3 linked regions of the Schizosaccharomyces pombe genome follow. Changing the gene in region 2 together with the main gene of any one other region gives a genetic interaction. Each region holds a gene or a part of one and is shown on either strand. Other genes may lie near its edges. The genes, in order: nup61, nxt1 and ppk31.

The links.
Region 1: mutations in nxt1 (region 2) and nup61 together harm fitness more than expected from each alone (negative genetic interaction), as found in Schizosaccharomyces pombe (one large-scale study listed by BioGRID).
Region 3: mutations in nxt1 (region 2) and ppk31 together harm fitness more than expected from each alone (negative genetic interaction), as found in Schizosaccharomyces pombe (one large-scale study listed by BioGRID).

What each region holds. Positions count from the first base shown.
Region 1 is NC_003421.2:729,766-736,601, reverse strand, and holds nup61 (nucleoporin Nup61), read left to right. Parts: upstream 1-3,360; 5' UTR 3,361-3,380; coding exon 3,381-3,499; exon of another isoform or gene 3,500-3,551; coding exon 3,552-3,850; exon of another isoform or gene 3,851-3,898; coding exon 3,899-5,130; 3' UTR 5,131-5,731; downstream 5,732-6,836. Other genes in the region: ism1 (isoleucine--tRNA (Ile) ligase), read left to right, coding at 260-3,181; dom34 (translation release factor eRF1 family protein), read right to left, coding at 6,080-6,712, 6,761-6,836. UniProt on the Schizosaccharomyces pombe protein: Functions as a component of the nuclear pore complex (NPC).
Region 2 is NC_003424.3:1,860,040-1,864,846, forward strand, and holds nxt1 (mRNA export receptor Nxt1), read left to right. Parts: upstream 1-3,289; 5' UTR 3,290-3,323; coding exon 3,324-3,342; exon of another isoform or gene 3,343-3,394; coding exon 3,395-3,723; downstream 3,724-4,807. Other genes in the region: cell surface adhesion protein for conjugation Mam3, read right to left, coding at 1-102; CENP-A histone chaperone Scm3, read left to right, coding at 1,895-2,905; protein dpc13, read left to right, coding at 3,933-4,321, 4,376-4,418; geranylgeranyltransferase type 1 alpha subunit Cwp1, read right to left, coding at 4,634-4,807. UniProt on the Schizosaccharomyces pombe protein: Stimulator of protein export for NES-containing proteins. Also plays a role in mRNA nuclear export.
Region 3 is NC_003423.3:1,210,853-1,218,380, reverse strand, and holds ppk31 (serine/threonine protein kinase Ppk31), read left to right. Parts: upstream 1-2,459; coding exon 2,460-5,558; 3' UTR 5,559-5,691; downstream 5,692-7,528. Other genes in the region: peroxisomal targeting signal receptor Pex5, read right to left, coding at 1-1,362; npp1 (nucleotide pyrophosphatase), read left to right, coding at 6,029-7,486. UniProt on the Schizosaccharomyces pombe protein: Has a role in meiosis.

The sequences.
Region 1 (6,836 bases), on a different chromosome or scaffold from region 2:
AATCATTATTGATCCAAGGAAACATTCAGTCCAAATTTGCTGTCCACATGCTAGCTTCGTTTGTGTATAGTATTTGAAATAATGGCATTTCTATGCATTGGACCGGTTTTACGCCTTGGCACTTCAGACTACAGCTATAGTTACTACCAGTACAATATACGGAATTGGGACCGTACCCACGAGGTTACCAATTCCCAGTTTGGTCGACATTCATTCCTATATTCGTTTTATGCTCGGATTATAAGGAATCGTCGGACATATGAAATTTTCATATATAAGCAGTTTGCCGAAAGGCCATAACCACATTTGTTGTAAACAAGCAGGTAGGTTTCTCAGCAGTCAGGCGGATTTGAAGAAATATTCAGAATCACTATGCTTGCCAAAGACTTCGTTTCCTATTAAGCCAAACGTTAAAGGAAATAATGAAAAGTATTTCAAATCCATCACATCAGACCTGTATGAATGGCAGAAGGAGAATTTGAATAAAGAAGATTCTTTCGTGCTATTAGATGGGCCTCCGTTTGCAAACGGTCGACTGCATATAGGTCATGCTCTAAATAAGATTTTGAAGGATATCATCAATCGTTGGCAATTGCTGAAAGGCCGTTCTGTGCATTATGTTCCTGGTTGGGATTGTCATGGTTTACCAATCGAGTCAAAAGCTATTAAAGCAAACGCCGAGCGTAAAAGTTCTCTTGAAATTCGAAAGATTGCTAAAGATTTCGCAAATTCGGCCGTTCAAGAACAACTCATGATGTTCCAACGTATGGCTGTAATGGGAGATTGGCCTTCTAGGTACATCACCATGAGTGACAAATTTGAAATAGCAGAGCTTAAGGTTTTCTTAAGTTTGTTACAAAAGGATCTTATATTTCGTCAAAATAAACCTGTTTATTGGAGCTCTTCAAGCAGGTCCGCTTTAGCTGAATCAGAAATAGAATATGATGATAATCACGTCAGCACGTCTATCTACTTTACGTTTCCGGTGAACAGTTTTTCTATCGATGGATGTGAATACAATAATGTAAAGGCATTAGTTTGGACAACAACTCCCTGGACCATTCCTTCAAACCTTGCATTATCTTACCACCCTGAAATCAACTATGGTCTATACCAGCACAATAATTCGATTTATTTAATGTCTGATAATTTAGTTCCAAACTTGGATTTTATGCAGGGAGCTAAGCGTCTTGCGAGTTGCCCTTCAGATATTATTTCATCATTTACATATGAGAACCCTCTATTACCGAAGCAAAGCTTTCCATTTTTACAATCTAACTACGTTACTAATGATATCGGTACTGGTATAGTACATGTCGCTCCTGGCCATGGAATGGAAGATTATCTTCTAGGACTGGAAAACAATTTGCGTCCTTTTTCACCACTCGATGATTATGGTCGATACACTAAAGAAGCTTTGGATGGAAGCCTTGAAGGATTGGAAGTTCTTGGTGATGGAGGAAAGAAAGTAATAAGTATTATGAAAAATCAAAATATGATTGTTAAGGTCTCTCCTTATAAGCACCGCTACCCTTACGATTGGCGAACACATAAGCCATTAATTTTACGGGCGACCCCTCAATGGTTTATATCATTGGAGAATGAAAGGAAAACTGCCATAAAAGCACTTGATAGTGTAAAAATGATTCCTCCAAATTCGCGCGCCAGACTTCTTGGTTTTTTGAATGGCCGTCCTGAATGGTGCATTTCTCGCCAACGGGCATGGGGTTTACCCATTCCTGTATTGTATGAGAAAGGAACTAAAATCCCCCTACTAACTGTGAAAAGTGTATCCTATATCATTGAGAAAATGGAAGTAGAGGGAGTTGATTCTTGGTTTAATGATACTGAAAACAATGGGCATGCTCAGTGGGTTCATCCGGATTACAGAAATAAGGAGTATATTCGTGGCACTGAAACACTTGATGTATGGTTTGATTCTGGGACTAGTTGGACTACAATAGCACCTCGTAAGAATAAACCGCTCATTGACCTTTGCTTGGAAGGAAGCGATCAACACAGGGGATGGTTTCAGTCACTTCTTCTCACATACACTGCCTACCAATCAAAACCAGAAGCACCGTTTTCTACTTTGTTTACGCACGGATTTATCTTTGATGAAAGAGGTCAGAAACAATCCAAGTCTTTGGGCAATGTAACCGACCCTGAAGATGTAATAAACGGAAAGCTTTTAAAAGGAAAAAAGCTTCCATATGGTGTTGATTTACTGAGACTTTGGGTTGCATCATGTGACAGTACGAATGATACTAACCTGGGACCGAACATTTTGACGCAAGTTGGTGAATCCTTAAAAAAGTGGAGATTAACATCCCGATTTTGTCTTGGGAACTTACATGACTGGAATACCTCGAGCTCAGTTGATGTTGGTGAATTACGTGGTATTGATAAGTTGGCTTTAGTCCAACTAGATAAATTTCAGACTGAAATTCGAGAACTTTATGAATCATATTCAATTAACAAAGTTGTTCATCATCTCAATTATTTTATGAACTCTTTCTTATCCTCTACATACTTTGACGCCGTAAAGGATCGTCTGTACGCTGATTTACCCAACAGTGTATCTAGGAGAAGTGTTCAAACTGTCCTTTATCATTCATTACTTACGCTCATTTGGGCCATTTCTCCCATTACTCCACTTTTGGCACAGGAGATTTGGCAAAGCTTACCCGATAGTTATTTGAATTCTTCTTACCAAACTCCTTTTCACGCTGGAGAAACACATCTTATAAGCAGCTTAAGGTCAAAAGTTGATTTACTTGATAGAAAATTTTTAATTAAGGAATACTTGGTTCTTCAACAACTTAAGTATAGTATTAATTTGTTGATTACCGCAGCTCGTGAAAATCTAACTATTAAAAACTCATTAGAAGCTTATGTCGTTATTAAGTCAAAATCTCAATCTTTATTGAGTTTTTTAAAAAATTACTCTTCCGACCTTCCTTTTCTGTTCAATACATCGAAGGTATTTATTAACGAAATTCCCGAAAATCTGAAATTAGCTTCCGTTACACAACCTGAAGTTCAGTTGGATTATGGGGTTGCAAATATCTCTTTATTTTTTTCAAATCAACAAAAATGTCTACGTTGCTGGATGCATACAGCTCATGAGGACGGATTATGTGACAGATGCGAATCTGTTTTGGCCCAACTGAAACGCTAAGAAAAAAGCTGAACGCTCTTTATTATGATAATTTTTGTACCATAGTCATTTATTTTTGTAATACTTAATTAAAATCAAGCGACAATTCATTTTTTGTATTATTTTATTTTACTGTAACATTAGTAAATAAGGAGACATAGTGAAGGCCATAAGTTTGGGTGGTTTTGGGGCTAACAGTTGACCTTCGCAAACTAGCAAAATGTCAAAACGCGGTGCTGATCATCAGTTAACTAAGGATCAAGATGATTCTGATGATGACCGTCATGGTCCAGTTGAAGTTCCTAAGGAGGCCTCCGCAGACGTGATGGCCACAAGAAAGTATGTAACGATGAAACATAGTTCTTCAATTTTTTAGGTACTAATGTATTAGAATTGCAAAGCCAAAATCTAGAAAAAGACCAACGAGCGGTGTTTCTTCTCCGGGAATTTTTGCAAATTTGGCAGCAAAACCGGTGTCTTTACCTGCATCGACTACGCAATTTACATTTGGAAAACCCGCGGTTACAGCTAATAATGATTCAGATATTCACTTGAAAAAACGCGGTCTTAATAAATCATTTATTGACGCTGTTATCAAAAGTGTTGACAATAATCCCTTTGGTAATTTGAGCCCTCTGTTTGATGAATACAGGCAGCATTTTTCAAGTATAGAAAAAAAGCCAGCAGAAGGTAATGCGTTTATAGTTAGTACTTCATTTCTTTCTAACGTTTTCTTAGAACAACCAACTTCAAATGCTGTTGTGTCTGAGGTAAATCCTCAGCAACAAAAAAGCCAAGATTCTTCTTCTTTTGTTACAGAAAAACCAGCTTCTTCAGAAAAAGAGGATAAGGAGAAGCCCCTTGTTCCCCCCGGTGCTCCTAGGTTCGGATTTTCTGCTCCAGCGCTTGGTAGCTCTTTCCAGTTTAATTCATCGGCTTTTACTCCTAAAGGGTCATTTGGTGAGAAGTCCGCAACAGAAGCGGAAGCGAAGGAGAAAGAAACATCTTCTAATCAAACTGCCACTGGTACTGCCGCTACCACAACCAACCAGTTTTCATTCAATACTGCCGCTAATCCTTTCGCTTTCGCTAAGAAGGAAAATGAGGAATCAAAACCATTAACTCCCGTGTTTTCTTTCTCAACGACTATGGCTTCTGCGGATGCTTCAAAAGAGACCAAACAAACCCATGAAACTAAAGATTCAAAGAGCGAAGAATCTAAACCCTCGAACAATGAAAAATCCGAGAACGCCGTTGAACCTGCCAAGGGAAATACTATGAGTTTTTCTTGGACTCCTGATAAGCCTATCAAATTTGACACACCTGAGAAAAAATTTACATTTACCAATCCATTATCGAGCAAAAAGTTACCGGCCTCTTCGGATGTGAAGCCTCCTAGCGCTGCGGCTGTCGGCTTTTCATTTGGAACTACTACTAATCCGTTCTCTTTTGCTGCTCCGAAATCTTCTTTTCCTACTTCTTCTACTCCAGCTTCTGTTGGCGCTGAAAAAAGTGAAGAAACTTCTAATGGAAACAAATCAGAGCAAGAAGAAAAGGAAAACGGAAATGATGAAACTCGATCGAATGATTCTCTAGTTTCTGGTAAAGGAAAAGGCGAAGAAAATGAAGACAGCGTATTTGAGACAAGGGCCAAGATATACCGTTTCGATGCTACTAGTAAATCTTATTCTGATATCGGGATTGGTCCATTAAAAATTAACGTAGATCGTGACACTGGCTCTGCTCGCATCCTTGCGCGTGTCGAGGGAAGTGGAAAACTTTTGTTAAACGTTCGTTTGTGCCAGGATTTTGAATACAGCCTGGCTGGTAAAAAGGACGTAAAAGTACCTGCTGCTTCTACTGATGGAAAATCAATTGAAATGTATTTGATTCGTGTGAAAGAGCCTAGTACTGCGGAAAAGTTATTAGCCGAATTGAATGAGAAAAAGGTCTCAAAGTCAGAGAACTAGAAAGCAGTGATTGATTCAGTCACTATTTATTCCTTTATTTTTGGTCTATTAAATGTACATAAATCTAATAAATTTTTCGGAAATATATTGTCAAGATTATCAATTTAATACTGTCATTCGATTTTCATTTGTGGATAGGGATATACACAATCAGTCTTTTACGAAATGTGCATACAAATATGAAATTCCCGGAAGCATACATGCTCTCCAAGTACATTGCCTTTATGGAATATTAAATTGGTTAAGCTAGTCATATCTTTTCTTTTTAAATTTACGCAGAACATCAAAGTTTTACGGAACTGATTTAATTATCCTAATTTTCATCTTATGAATGATTGATAAATTTTTGAGTGAATTTTAAAACTGTTGTATATCGCCAGTGATATATCTTGAATTGATTGATTCAATAATCGGTTTCGTTATTAAATTACTTTTGTCTATATATTGGTTCCGGATTTTCAAACACCTGCCTAGCTTTTAGAAGGGTCAAACCCCCTTATTGAATAAGTATCTTGGCGCGAACTTTTAATAAAATAAGCAAGTAAATGAGCCACTATCAATTTCGAATTGTTAGTTTTTTGAAAAAAGTAACTTCAACAAATACGTTTGTAGCGAATTTATCGCTTAAAGTTGATTTTTTTACTGTAATTGAATACTGTATTGGACCGGCTATAATTAACAGCTTAATTTTACAAGTTAAGAGTTATAATCGATAAGTATAAATCATTTTAGGGTATCAATTTTTGACCATTCTAACACCTAATTTTTTGCATGTTTATCATAGTAAATACCCTAAAACATCCAAGTAAAAGCATAAATAATGACTACCAAAACGAGCCCATAAATAAATTTTTTAAGAGAATGAAACAAATTGTTCTAACCGAGCTTAAAGTATGAAATATTGGCTTAGCAATAATTAGATTCATGACAATTCGGATACTGATGAACTTTAACTATGTTCAAAATTTTGGGATTCCTCATCCTCTTCATCTTCTGATATATCCTCTTCATCGACTGGGTAAGTGAGAATGGCGGCAATACCTGACAACAGATCCAGCTGCTTCCCTGACTCATGCAAACTACTGAAAATATAAACAGGACAGTTAATCTCCTTAACACCTTCTACTAATGAAACCCATTTTTTTCTAGTAGCAATGTCAGAACTCCTGAACAGAGAATCGCTAATCAGAAGTTCTCCGATCGCGCCAAGTTCAAAAGCCTTCAAAACATGATTTGGACCATACCATGCCTTTCTATCATCTTCATTCATGACATCGTAAAATTTATTCAGAACGCGAATTTCTTGTACGTATTTTGTGTCGGCTAGTTTTGATTCAACAGCAGGGTCCTTCAAAATTTCATTAAGGGAATGAATATGACCAGTGCTAGAATGAAGGATGACAAATTTATTCTTTGATTTAACAATTTGTTTCAAGTCTAACTTCACGGCCATGCTGAATATGTAGTCATACAAGCCTCGAGCCACAAATCCTGGTGAAGCAAGAATAACGACTTTCAATTTATCAAAATCAAATTCTGAGTTAATGGATTGAAAAACAGAGTCATAAAATTTATCAAGGCCCTAAAAAATTGATCAGTACGGACGAAAAATCAAAGTCTAAAAATTTACCTTTTGGTAAGCGCTGCTGTCCCCTCTCCGTTTCCTTGGAATCACTTGATCAATCCTTTGACGCAGGATGGTCATA
Region 2 (4,807 bases):
ACCTACTGACCGACTGACGTTAAAAGTGTCATCAAGTGCAGATGGGGATGCCCAGGAAAATCCTAGCAAAACGAGAATAAAGAAAGCCAAAGCAATCGACATGACGAATTATGGGAAGATCAAGCGATAAAAGAAAAATTATAATTAATAATGTTTTTCAAAGAAGAAGAAAAGAAAGTATTAAAAAGAAGCAAGACTCAAATCAAAAGATAGATAAAAAATTGAGAAATGCGATGCAATGCAATGAGAAGTTATTTCAAAATTCTACTAGTCTGAAAAAAACTAAAAAATGAAAAAGCAAAAGAGTGTCAAAAGGTAATGAGGAATAAGTAGACGAGCGAATGGCAAAATCAGAGAGGTTTCAAAAAAATCGAGTTAAGTGATCAAAATTCCTTGCTGAACCTATTTGTCAATTGCAATACTAGTACTAAAACAAAGTCTTCGTCGTTCCCTTCTTTTTTTTCTGATTGCAGTTTCTTATTCAGCTTGCTTTACGAAACCTTCAAATGTAATGACAAATATGGAGCTCTATGCGGTTTTTTATACTTAGGATCCATGGTGAAGGAATACAAAGAAATTCGAGTATTTGAACTATACAATGCTCAAACAATGGTGTAGTGTTTTAAAGAAAGTGCAATTATGGAGTAGTTGAAAGAGTTGCGCTGTACTCAACTTCCTTTGTTTCATCGGCATGCTGTGCTATTCAGGTAACGGGTACGTTTATTGTTGGAGGGGAATGAGTAATTCCTATTGTCATATTCCATATGGTGTAGTAATTCTTTTCATGTGAATGCTTCGGTAAAGAAATTGTTCAAAACAAGCATACCGTAAGAAACTGAAACATGAAACGACTCGGTTTTGCTTCAAGTTATAGAAGACTGTGTTCATGAGACTAAGTCACAAAGAGCCAAAAATAGTTTATTTTACAATACGTTCCCTATCGTGTCCAAATTGTTCTGTCGTTTTGTTTAACATTTCTATTGTTCTCGCTATTGTCTGTTTCACTTGGCACTTAGTAAGAATGCAAACAATGCCGAGATCAATTCATCCTTTGTTCTAATTATTTAGCGATGATTTCTCCAATTCTATGTTGTAATGGAATTGATAATAGTTACTAGTTGGTACAATAGACACTTTCTAAAAGAATTCTATTGAGGAGCTGCGCTACGTATCCTCATATTTACATGAATGAACAATCAAAATATGGCTAAACTTGTCGAACAGAACGCTTTCAACTAATACGAATTATTTGTGAAAGAAAGCCAAAGAATCGTCACGCTTCTTTGGGGCGATGTGACAAATGGAATGCTCAACTTATGGGATTTTTTTATTAAATTGTGCAAATGATGCAAAGTAATATTCACCAAAACGAGTATCCTTATTTTCTTTATTTTAGGTATCGTTGATTTCTCATTTTATCATTAAAAAAGTAATGTGGAATTGCTATGTTCGTTGGAATCCACAAGGTATCGCAGCGTTCGTTATTATTACAAAATTGTATGTCTATTAATTTTATGTATTTTAGAAATTCTTAAACAGTATAGAATTAGTGCAAGAACAGATAAATCAGTCTTTTGGAGCAATGAGTTAATTTACAAGCGTTAAGCGACCATCATTGAAATTACACTTTTGCATAAACTATTCAAAAGAACTTTTCATTATCTTTTTTTTTTGATCTCTAAGTTCTAACAGAAATTAAATCTAAAAGTCATTCGTGAATTAGTTACGAAACTCTAATACAAGTCTACAGTTATGGCACCGTTCACTAATAAACCACTACTGAAATCGCTTTCCTACTAATAACTGAAAATCTCCAATTTTTGCCTTAAGAAATTTATTGGAAAGGATTTTTTGAACAAAATTTCTCAATACCAAATGATTTTAACTTTCAATCATGTGCAATCGTCAACCGAAAGCCGTTGACCTGCCTCCAAACTATTCTTGTCCACATCTGTTGTCTTTTCAGTCTGTCGAATTTAATACTAATCCTACGGCTTGTGATGATGTGTTTTGTAAAAGAATTGAGTCCGAAAAGAAGTACAACGACTTTTTGGAATCTCTTTTCAAAAAATATGGACGCGACACTTCTGATATAGCTGATGAAGTAGATCTTGCAACTGGTGAAATTATTGTTAATAATGGACATCTAGAAGCTTTAAAAACAAAAGATGATATATGGGATCCTACATTTAACAACCTTGAAATCTCAGCGTCAAATGGATACGAAAAAAAATTAGACTCAAGCATTGGCAACCCAGGGGAAAAAGCTGTTTCACCAGTCCATATAGAGGATTTTCAGTCTCCCCAGATCTATAAATTTAAAAATCTATCACTTCGTGATGAAATGGTGTCAGATTGTGTGTTTGCAGATGAAGTTCCTTTAGCTTCACTTTTTGTGGAAAATGTTTGTAATGAAACTATACCCTCTCAGTCATGCGTGAGACTAAAAATCAATGATAAAACAAGAAAAGTTGATGCTTCAGCTTTGGAAAAAAAATCTTGTCTGTTGCCAAACTCATCAGGAACATTAACAGATCAGCGTGGTTTGGATACAATCAAGCATAAAAGCATAGAACAAAATGAGATTTTGCACGTCATCTCTGATACTTTATCTTCACCGAGAAGAAGGAACCCTTTATTATCATCTCCTAAAACTCCTTTACGTAGATCTTTTTCTAAGTCAAAAGTCCGAAACTCCAATTCTACAAAACGAAGAAACTTTATTTCATTAATTTCAATGATATCCCCTCGACCTAATCTTTCTACCCATCATTTTAATCTTGGTTTTCAACCTTTAAGTCAACAAACTTCGTTCTCAGGAAGTAGCACTCAGAACCCTCATTCTTCCAGCACTTGTAAAAAAGCATTTTGTTTCCAATGCATTTCTGAGTCAAAAAAATGTTGATTCAGCTTTAAACCACTTATTCTCCCATCTTCTTCGCTTGCCATACCATGGCTTTTAATGACCTATTTCTTCGAACATATATTTATTTTTTGTTTTCATTTACAACAAATTGTCTTTCGAGTTATCATGTTACATTCGAATATATATTTTTTTACTAATATATTAATCATTCGTTGAGTTTTTACGTGATCTATGCTTTTGTAGTATGGCAAATGAGTACACATAATTGTTCTCCACTCTTCATGTTATAAGTAAAAATCGTAGTCATAAAGATATCTAGCCGAAATATCCATTCAGTGTGTTGAACAAAGATTATCTTTAAATATCGCTTAATGAGTACAATATTTCAATTTATAACACATGTACCTGTTTAAATGACTACTTACACCACTACAAATTTCTGTCATTGTGAATCATTATGGAGTCGAGTGTAAAATGTATGTTAAATGCCGCATTACTAAAGCTTTATCTATAAACTAACAATTAAAGATGCGCAGGAGTTCGTCCAACGGTATTACTCATCTCTTGATACGAACAGAAATGGGATCGCAGAATTTTACAGAGAAAATAGTTTGATCTTATGGAATGGAAAACCCATGCAAGTAACCGAATTTACCTCTATGATAGTTAATCTTCCATACTCCAAAACTAAAGTTGAGGATTTCGATAGTCAACAGGTCATGGGTAATGATATGAATATCATAATTGTTGTTTCAGGAACAATACGTTTCGATGGAAAAAAACCTCATGTATTTTCGTATGTCAGTTTTTATTGTATTTACCTTCTTGTACTAAGATCCTCTACTAACTTCCTTTAAGAGACAATATAGTTCTACAACAGGAAGAATCAAAGTATTATATTGCCAGTCAAAATTTTAGAATTATGAGTGAATAATACGTATCCAAAACAAAGATTTCATTTCGTTTAGAGTTTGTATTAATTTGCCGCAGCAAGCTTATCTGAGCGACACATTCCCTAATCCCTCATACTTCTTTAGAACACAAAATTAACCACCACCTTACAAATATGAAATATTGGAAGTATTTGTCTCAGCTGACTATCAGAAGGCCTCTTACATACAACAATGCTCTTCTGTATAGGAATAGGTTTCCTAGTATATTAACATGGAAGAGAAGTGCGACTACGCAACCTGACGACACTATTTTCAAGGATCCAGTAATGGATGAGCAAGTCCAGAAACTTGAAGAGAAAATGAGTTCATTAGTTGTTAATGATCCGGAACTTGCTCAAAAGGTTGGCCGTCTTCGTCAGTTTTTTGAGAAATACGGCCTTGAAGCTGGTTCAAAACCGTCACCTCTTACTATCCTAAAGATTACTCGTGATCCGGAATTCAAGCAGTTAGCTGAAACTATCACGGAGATATTTAAAAAATCTGGAATTCAAAATGATCCTGCGTATGTTTTTTTGAATGTATTCCATTGATTGTGCGAACACTAACATATCTATAGATTTTTGGAACTTGTTCGAAGAAACCTTAAGAAAGAAAAGTAAAAATATGCCTCTGACATTTTTTTTATTCTTTGTTTGGCCTAATAACCATTACTTGTTCACTATTATGTGAAACTTACAATTGGAGGAATGACTAATGTTATTGATTTCATAAACGATTCACTATACATCACAACTACTTTCTTAATTAGTAGGAATTTTAAACAAGATGCTTTATCAAAATATCAGTAAACCCAATTAGCATTCAAAGCATAGATTTAAGGATTGCTCCTTTGGGACATCCATGTCCATAAAGCGGCATGCGGTACGTCAACCTCATTTGCTAGTTTTTGATAAATCTCTTCAGACGACGAAGGCTCGTACATAGCTAAAAACTCTAAGAGTGGCTTGTGTAAAGCAGGCAAATTTTTTCGGAGATTAGCTATGAGATT
Region 3 (7,528 bases), on a different chromosome or scaffold from region 2:
ATACTCCTTCAACATATACATAATTATTCCTAATCCAGCTTGTACCTTGGAGGAACGCTTCTTAGCAAGTGATAACTCATAAGCTACATCCAAGAAATACATCTGCATTTTCAAGAGATCGTTAGCAGAATCTTTCTCTTCAAACCTTTCGTTTATCTTTGCAAACCTGTTTCGGTATTGGGGAAAACTGTTGACTATCCAGTCTTCTAAGCAAACCAATGCCTGAACATTTAGAGACTGATTAACATAAGACACAGCAAGATCCATCATTAAGTCAAGATTGGTTGAATCCAATTTGACAGCTTCAAGTAGGGCTTCAACAACCCGCGATTCGTTTCCCAATAGAGTATGAATGCGACCTAACCATTTCCAGGCCTCGAAGTGCTGTGGATTCTCTTTCACAGATTGTTCCAATAACACAGCTGCTTTCGAGATAGATCCTCCATTTTTTATTAAATTCATGGCTTCAACAAATGGATCTATTCCGTTTAGCTCTTTCACAACCTCTGAAGATTCATCTTGGTTCTGTGAATATACATCTTCCGTTTGTAAAGAGTTTTCAACAACGTTATCAGTATCGCTATGCTGGAAAATTTGAGGATCTATGTTTTTATTATGAGCTAAATTATCATTAGCAAAGCTATTCACAGACGAAGTGTAAGGATCGTCAGAAATATTGTTTGACTTTAAAAAATCTTCCCATTGTTTCTGGTATTCCTCTAAACTTGCGGGCTCTAGCCCGGCGTTTTTCAATTGCTTTTGATGCTCTTCCCATAGCTCCTCAATTGATTTACTTCCAGTAGCATCCTTTTCCTTCTCTAATTTATTGGAGATTTGAGAAGCTTCCTCAAATTTCTTAGCCAACTCAGTTTCGTCAATAGCTAAAGAACTTTGTAAGGGTATTTCAGTATTTGAAGATAAATTTAGTCCAGCGGAACCAAAAAAAGATTGTTTTAAAGGTTGGTTTAAGTTTCGAAAACGGTCGTTTTCAGATGAATTGAGAAATACTTCAGAGAATTCTGATGTCCAAGCCGACTTACTATTCTGCTGCTGAAGAGAAGAAAAAGAATGTACCCAATTTTCTTTCGAGCCTCCACGAGTAGTTGTGCCGGTATGATTTCCAGTTTTTAAGCTAACTGGGTTCTTAACTACATTACCTAAAGGACTATTGTTTCCTTGGAGATTTTTGAAAGATGTGAATTGATCCTCAGACAGCGTTTGCAAAGGAGCGTAAGTACGACTTTGAGACTTGGTTAAATGTTTTCGATATTGAGCTGAAGGTGTTGAATTATTGACAACAGCTGTGGAAGTCAATTTCTTAAGAGGATTAGATAGCGTTGAACATCCTGCTTCAACAGACATTTTTGAAGAAAGTAGACTATAGCCAATATAAAGGCTCTCGACCAAAAGGAAATAGTTTTTTAAGTAGGTTGTAAGAAAATTAATATCAAAGAATGAAAAATTTCGCAACTTGATTGAATTTGCGATGTGTTTTAAAAACCAAAAATATGAAAACAAAAAAGCGGAAGAAGTAACGATGCAACTAACCAAAAAACAAAAATTGATCGCACCAATGATTGTTACAAAACTTGCGTATAAACTCAGGCATGTATTGCTGCTTATTACCAATTACAAAAATATTTAGATGAGTGCGCTCAGTTCATGTAGATGCTGAGCGTAGCACGTTAGATTAATCGCTTCTGTAATACACCACATTAACCCATATCAATTTATAATAAAGACTTTCTCTTTATTTTTTCAGACTAATCTATTGCCACTAAGGAATTTAGATTTCAACATTTTATTATACTTTTGTAAACCATGCTGCATATGTTAAAACCATAGCTTTATGATACAGAGAAAAAAATCCATATTATTTCTAAGTTCTTTTCAAATTAGTGTGATTAGAAAGTTAAACCAAGGGTTGGATTGAAGTATTAACTCTACATCTATTTATTCACCTGTTGTCTAAATTACAACGCCAAATGAATTAAATCACCAAATACTTCTGTCGCTCACAATAAAATGTATTAAAAAACTAATTAATTTTCGCTAGTCAATATTCGCTGTAACAATGGTTTTGGTTGTTTTCTGCTTAATACCAATTGATGCCACCTACAGTTCACATCCGACAAATATTTGTTAAAGAACCTGTCGCTAATTAAAGTGCTAAAAATCGCTCGTTCAAATTGTGATCTCATTATGAATTAGCATATTAGTTGGCGAATTTAATAAAGCCAAGTAATAAATTGATGATGTTATAATAACGAAAACATTGTATACAACAACAATTCCGCTTCATAAGTAAAAAAAGGTATTTAAATTATACGAGTCTTACAAACTATTAAAAGTCTTTGCCGAAAAACTATCGCGTAAGAACCATTTGCATTGATTTTACACAACTTTGAATACAATTTCTTTTATACCAAGAAGCTTAAAGTGTTCAATTATGATAAACAATGACTAATCCAGAGCAATTGAAGAGGATACTTTCCCACGAAGTTCTGCTGAAAATTGAAATGTCAAAAAATGGAATAGTGGAATATGCCAATCCTGCATTTTTTGAATTAATCGGCTACGAAGGAGATTTATTTCAATGTAGTTTCTATGAGTATCTTCAAAGCGATGATGAACACTTAATGAAGAAAGCAACCGATAATCTTTTCAGAAAAAGCATATCAGTTGCACATGTCTTTGCTTTTCTCAGATGTAATCCAATACGCAGTCCTAATTATTATATTCAACAAGCCAAAGCTCCATTTGAGGGAAAGACGTATATTAGAATGCTTTTTCGAGGCATTCTAGTAGACTCATTGTATGGTAAAGATACAAGGGTTTTGTGGGCAGGAAAATATTTATATCCACAACGGTCCGTGATCAACGAAATGGATTTCATCCTGTTTAACACGTTAGGGATTGGTGCCTTCATTCTTCATGATCATTTGCTCGGAATAATCAAATACAATTATATACACGTTCCTCCTCCTTCAGGAAAATTATGTTCGTTGTGTGAAGATAATTTACCAGAGTGGTACTTTGAGGTACATAGCGATTTTTGCCTTGTTTGGAATGATCTCGTACGCCGCGTTTTCGCCGTACAACAATTGATAAATTGTAAGAAGCTGGAAATAGAAGACATAGTTAACAAACTCCCTACGGGTAGTAATCATATGGTTGAAGAAACCTTTCTTTCCTTGCCGGTCATAACAGTATTCAACGGGAAGAAAAACAGAAAACAGAGGTTTCGCATTCGATCATGGAGAAGCTCTCTGAACTTTTTGGTTAAGGAACTGGACAAATCCATTAAAAATTTTGCTTATTTAGAACATCGAACGTTTTTGACAATTTCAAATTCTGCCGCGAAAGACATGAAGCGAGAGATTTATGAAAAATCATTGGTGAATTGGGAGTATGATTTTCTTGTTCCCTCAAAGATCCAGGATTATTTTTACGATGTTCATTCACTTCTTTTGAAAAATTTATCGTCTAAAATAAAACTCTGTAATCACATTTTAATGTATCAAGCAACGTTTAATGAAGTTAAAAATTTTCTTCAAACGTACTCCTTGAATATGCTATCAATTGAGATGGAAAACATCGAAGGAAGTCTGTACTTTGGAAATGCTCAATTGTCCAATCTAATTTGCGTAAACCAATACCTTTCCGAACAGAGACCAGTGTTTTTCAACAGGCTGTTAGCCCTTGGGAACGTTGAAAATAATAATTCAATTTACGATGACATCCAGAAACGAACAGAACGTATATCTACCATAAAAAGACATAAAAAATACTTTGAGATTGGAGAACGCTTAACAGAAAAAGACTTAATTGTGTCTAAAACCTTTAAAACAACAAGGATAGATTATTTTAAAGCGGTAAAGGGATCAATTGAAGATCTGGATGTGAGACCTCTAAAAAATCGGCAGAAATTTGTTAACAAATTCTATGCCTCGATCGTTCATTTTCTTACCGAAAGTATGCAGTTCCCAAGCCATAATGATAGGAGATTTGGGGATAATACTCCTCACTCATTAGACGAGTTCATACTTTTAAAAGAAATAAACAGAGGGGCATACGGTAGGGTTTATCTTGCTAAAAAAAGATCTTCAGGAAAGTATTTTGCTCTTAAAATGATTCCAAAATCCAGTCTTGATAGCTTAAAAAAAATAAAAGGACTATTGCTTGAAAAGCGTAACATGCATATCCAAAGATATGGACCAAACACAGTGAAATTATATTATGCATTTGATTCTGGGGACTACCTATGCCTTGTAATGGATTATTTTAATGGAGGAGATTGTGAAACACTTATTCAAAAATTAGGACCGTTACCAGAGCAATGGGTTTGCCAGTACGCAGCTGAATTACTAAATGCTATCGAGCTTTTGCATCAGGATGGAATCATCCATCACGACATAAAGCCTGCCAACATGTTGGTTGACGAAACAGGACATATTCGGCTTACAGACTTCGGACTGAGTGAAAACGTAGAGGAAAAAAAAGAGGTTTATAAGCTTACTAAGAGGATGTCATTTGAACAGAAACATGGAAATTTGTATGAGCAGCTTCAACCTAAAAAATTCGAATTTGTAAGATATGTTCGAAATTACCGCGGGAATATTGATGAGCTTGAGAAAGCGGAGAGTCCACAGCAAAATAGTGATTATGCCAATGACTCGGTCCAGCATTTACTTGACTTTGATATCAATAACATGGATGAAACAGCAATACACATGTTAATGAATCAGTTAGAGAAAAAGGAAAACCGGACATTCATCAAAAAAGATATTTCAGGGACGCCAAATTATATGGCTCCAGAAATTTTAATGGGCGTTGATACTCAGATGGGCGATATATGGGCGATGGGTTGTGTGATATTCGAAATGTTGACTGGCACGCGACCATTTGAAGCAAATACTGTAAAAGCAATATGGGCTCGCATAGAGAGAAATGATATTGGTTGGACTAAAAGAGTGAAAGAAAGCTGCTCAAAGGAGGCGGTAGACTTAATCACCAAACTCATGGATCCAGACTGTAACAAACGGCTGGGTAGCAATGGATACCAGGAAATCAAAAAACATCCTTTTTTTCGAACCATTAAATGGGATAATTTAAATAGTGGGCCAGGTCCGTTCGTTCCACAAACAGAAAATGTTGAAGATTTGACGTACTTTGAAAAAAACATAAGCGGTTCGGATAATATTAATAAAAATAATTGTCAGACGTCAGCAACTTTAATTCTAAATGGTATTTTTGCTTTTCATCCTCCTCCAAAAGCAACACCAGCTGACAGTGGTACTGAAACCTCAAACTCAGCTGCTTTCTCTGCGTCCGAGGAGGAGACCACAAATTTAACAGACCAAAAACGAAAAGATCTTTTTTCACTAATAACCAAAGCGTTTAAGGGAATAGACTTAAAGGCCCTTAATTACAACAACAAAGCCACGCTTTTGCGAATGTATGATGAGGTCGATTTCCCCAAAAATCAACAAAGAAATAAAGAGAAATTTCGAATTCAGAAACGACCTAACAAAAAGTATCGCTACCATTTATTTTAACATCATGTAAAACCATAGACATAACATGTTCGCTATCCAGAACGAATCATGATAAGTTGAAAAATGGTTAATTAATATTTCCATACAGAAACAGTAAAAAGACAAATAAACTTGTTCTACAAAATCTTTTATTCTGAGGCTTTAGCCAAATAATGCTTCTAACATAAGTTGATGTTTCCTCCTTGAATCCAAATATTATTAATAGTTGAATTTCATATATGAAAAAAAGCTATCTCATTTCACTAAACGTTTCAAAGGATGACATTTCCTATACGACAGAACATTTAAGAGGACTGAATAGTTTACGAATTGAAGTAAGTTAGAACAAAGTGTTTACCGCATATCTTTGAAAGCGTTAAATGATTTTAACAATATTTTTCGCATCGTTATTCAAGTAAGTATTATTTGACAGATTATATGATATACCTAACAATACTCCTTTATATCATTGATTTTGAACATTCGCCGAAATGTTTAGTTGGGCTAATATTGGGTCCAACGAGTATTTGCCTTTGAAAAATGATCGAAAGGCTTATTTGAATCAATGGGCAAAACGATCGGGACTAGCAATTGCCGCTATTTGCATTTTAGGAATTCTGATATTGGCAATTGTGAAATTATTTTGCTTCAAAGCAATTATTTTTCCTATCGTTGGAGGTTCCTTCAACAATGGGACCAATGTTTTTCAGTCCACTGTCATCGTAATCTCCTTGGATGGATTCCGTGCTGATTACTTATATCGTGGGTTCACACCTAATCTTCTGAGCCTGGCTGAACGTAATGTCCATGTTCCCTTTTTGATTCCTTCTTTTCCTAGTATAACTTTCCCTAATCACTATACTATTGTTACCGGTTTATATCCCGAGAGCCATGGAATCGTTAGTAACAACTTTTTTGATCCTGTAACTGGGAAGCAATTTGTCAACAGTATGCCTGAATGTAACAAAGACCCAACTTGGTGGGATAAAGGGGAGCCTATATGGGTCAACGCTGAGCGAAATAACGTTCGATCAGCGGTACATATGTGGCCTGGAAATGAAGTGGAGAATCATGGTTACAGACCTACTTATTCGGATGGTTTCAATTTTGATACGACTCTAAGAGAAAAGAAAGATAGAATACTCGAATGGCTGGATCTTCCTGATAAAGACCGCCCTCAGTTATTACTTGCTTATGCTCCCCATGTAGATATGGTTGGGCACGCATTTGGACCGGATTCGCCTGAACTGAATATCATAATTCAAGAAGTTGATATCGTAATTGGTGAACTAATTGAAGGACTGAAGAAAAGAAATATCGATAAGCATGTCAACATTATTTTTTTAAGTGATCATGGAATGGCGCCTACATCCGATAATCGTCTTATCTGGCTGGATAATATGTTTAATTTGTCTGCCGTTGCACACAGAGATGCTTGGCCGTTAGGAGGTTTTAGAGGAGAATCTGATTTAGATGATGAGTACATTTACGAAAGTCTTGTTAATTATTCTCGCTCGTCATTACCTTCTGCTGAGAATTGGAATGTTTATTCAAAGAAAGATATACCTTCTCGATGGCATTACTCAAATAATGAAAGAATAGCTCCCGTTTGGATGATCCCGGATGTTGGATGGTCTCTTGTCTCGATGCTGGATCATTCACCGGAGTTGGAGTATGAGCCTTTGGGTGTACATGGTTATGACAATTTGTCTCCAGTGATGAGAGCACTTTTTATCGCTTCAGGATCTTCTTTTAAGAATTTTAAGGGAAAGAAGCTTGCACCGTTCCAGAACACCGAAATTTATGGCATTCTTTCGCATATATTAGATTTACCAGCTCAGCCTAATAATGGTACATATGAAGGTGCTTTACCTTTAAGAAGAAATCGTAATTCTACTAAGGAATGGTTGCTGAAGGACATAGAACAAGCATACTCTAAGCTTATTTAATTCTGCTGTTTTATCACTATCTTTATATTTTTTAATATTTTT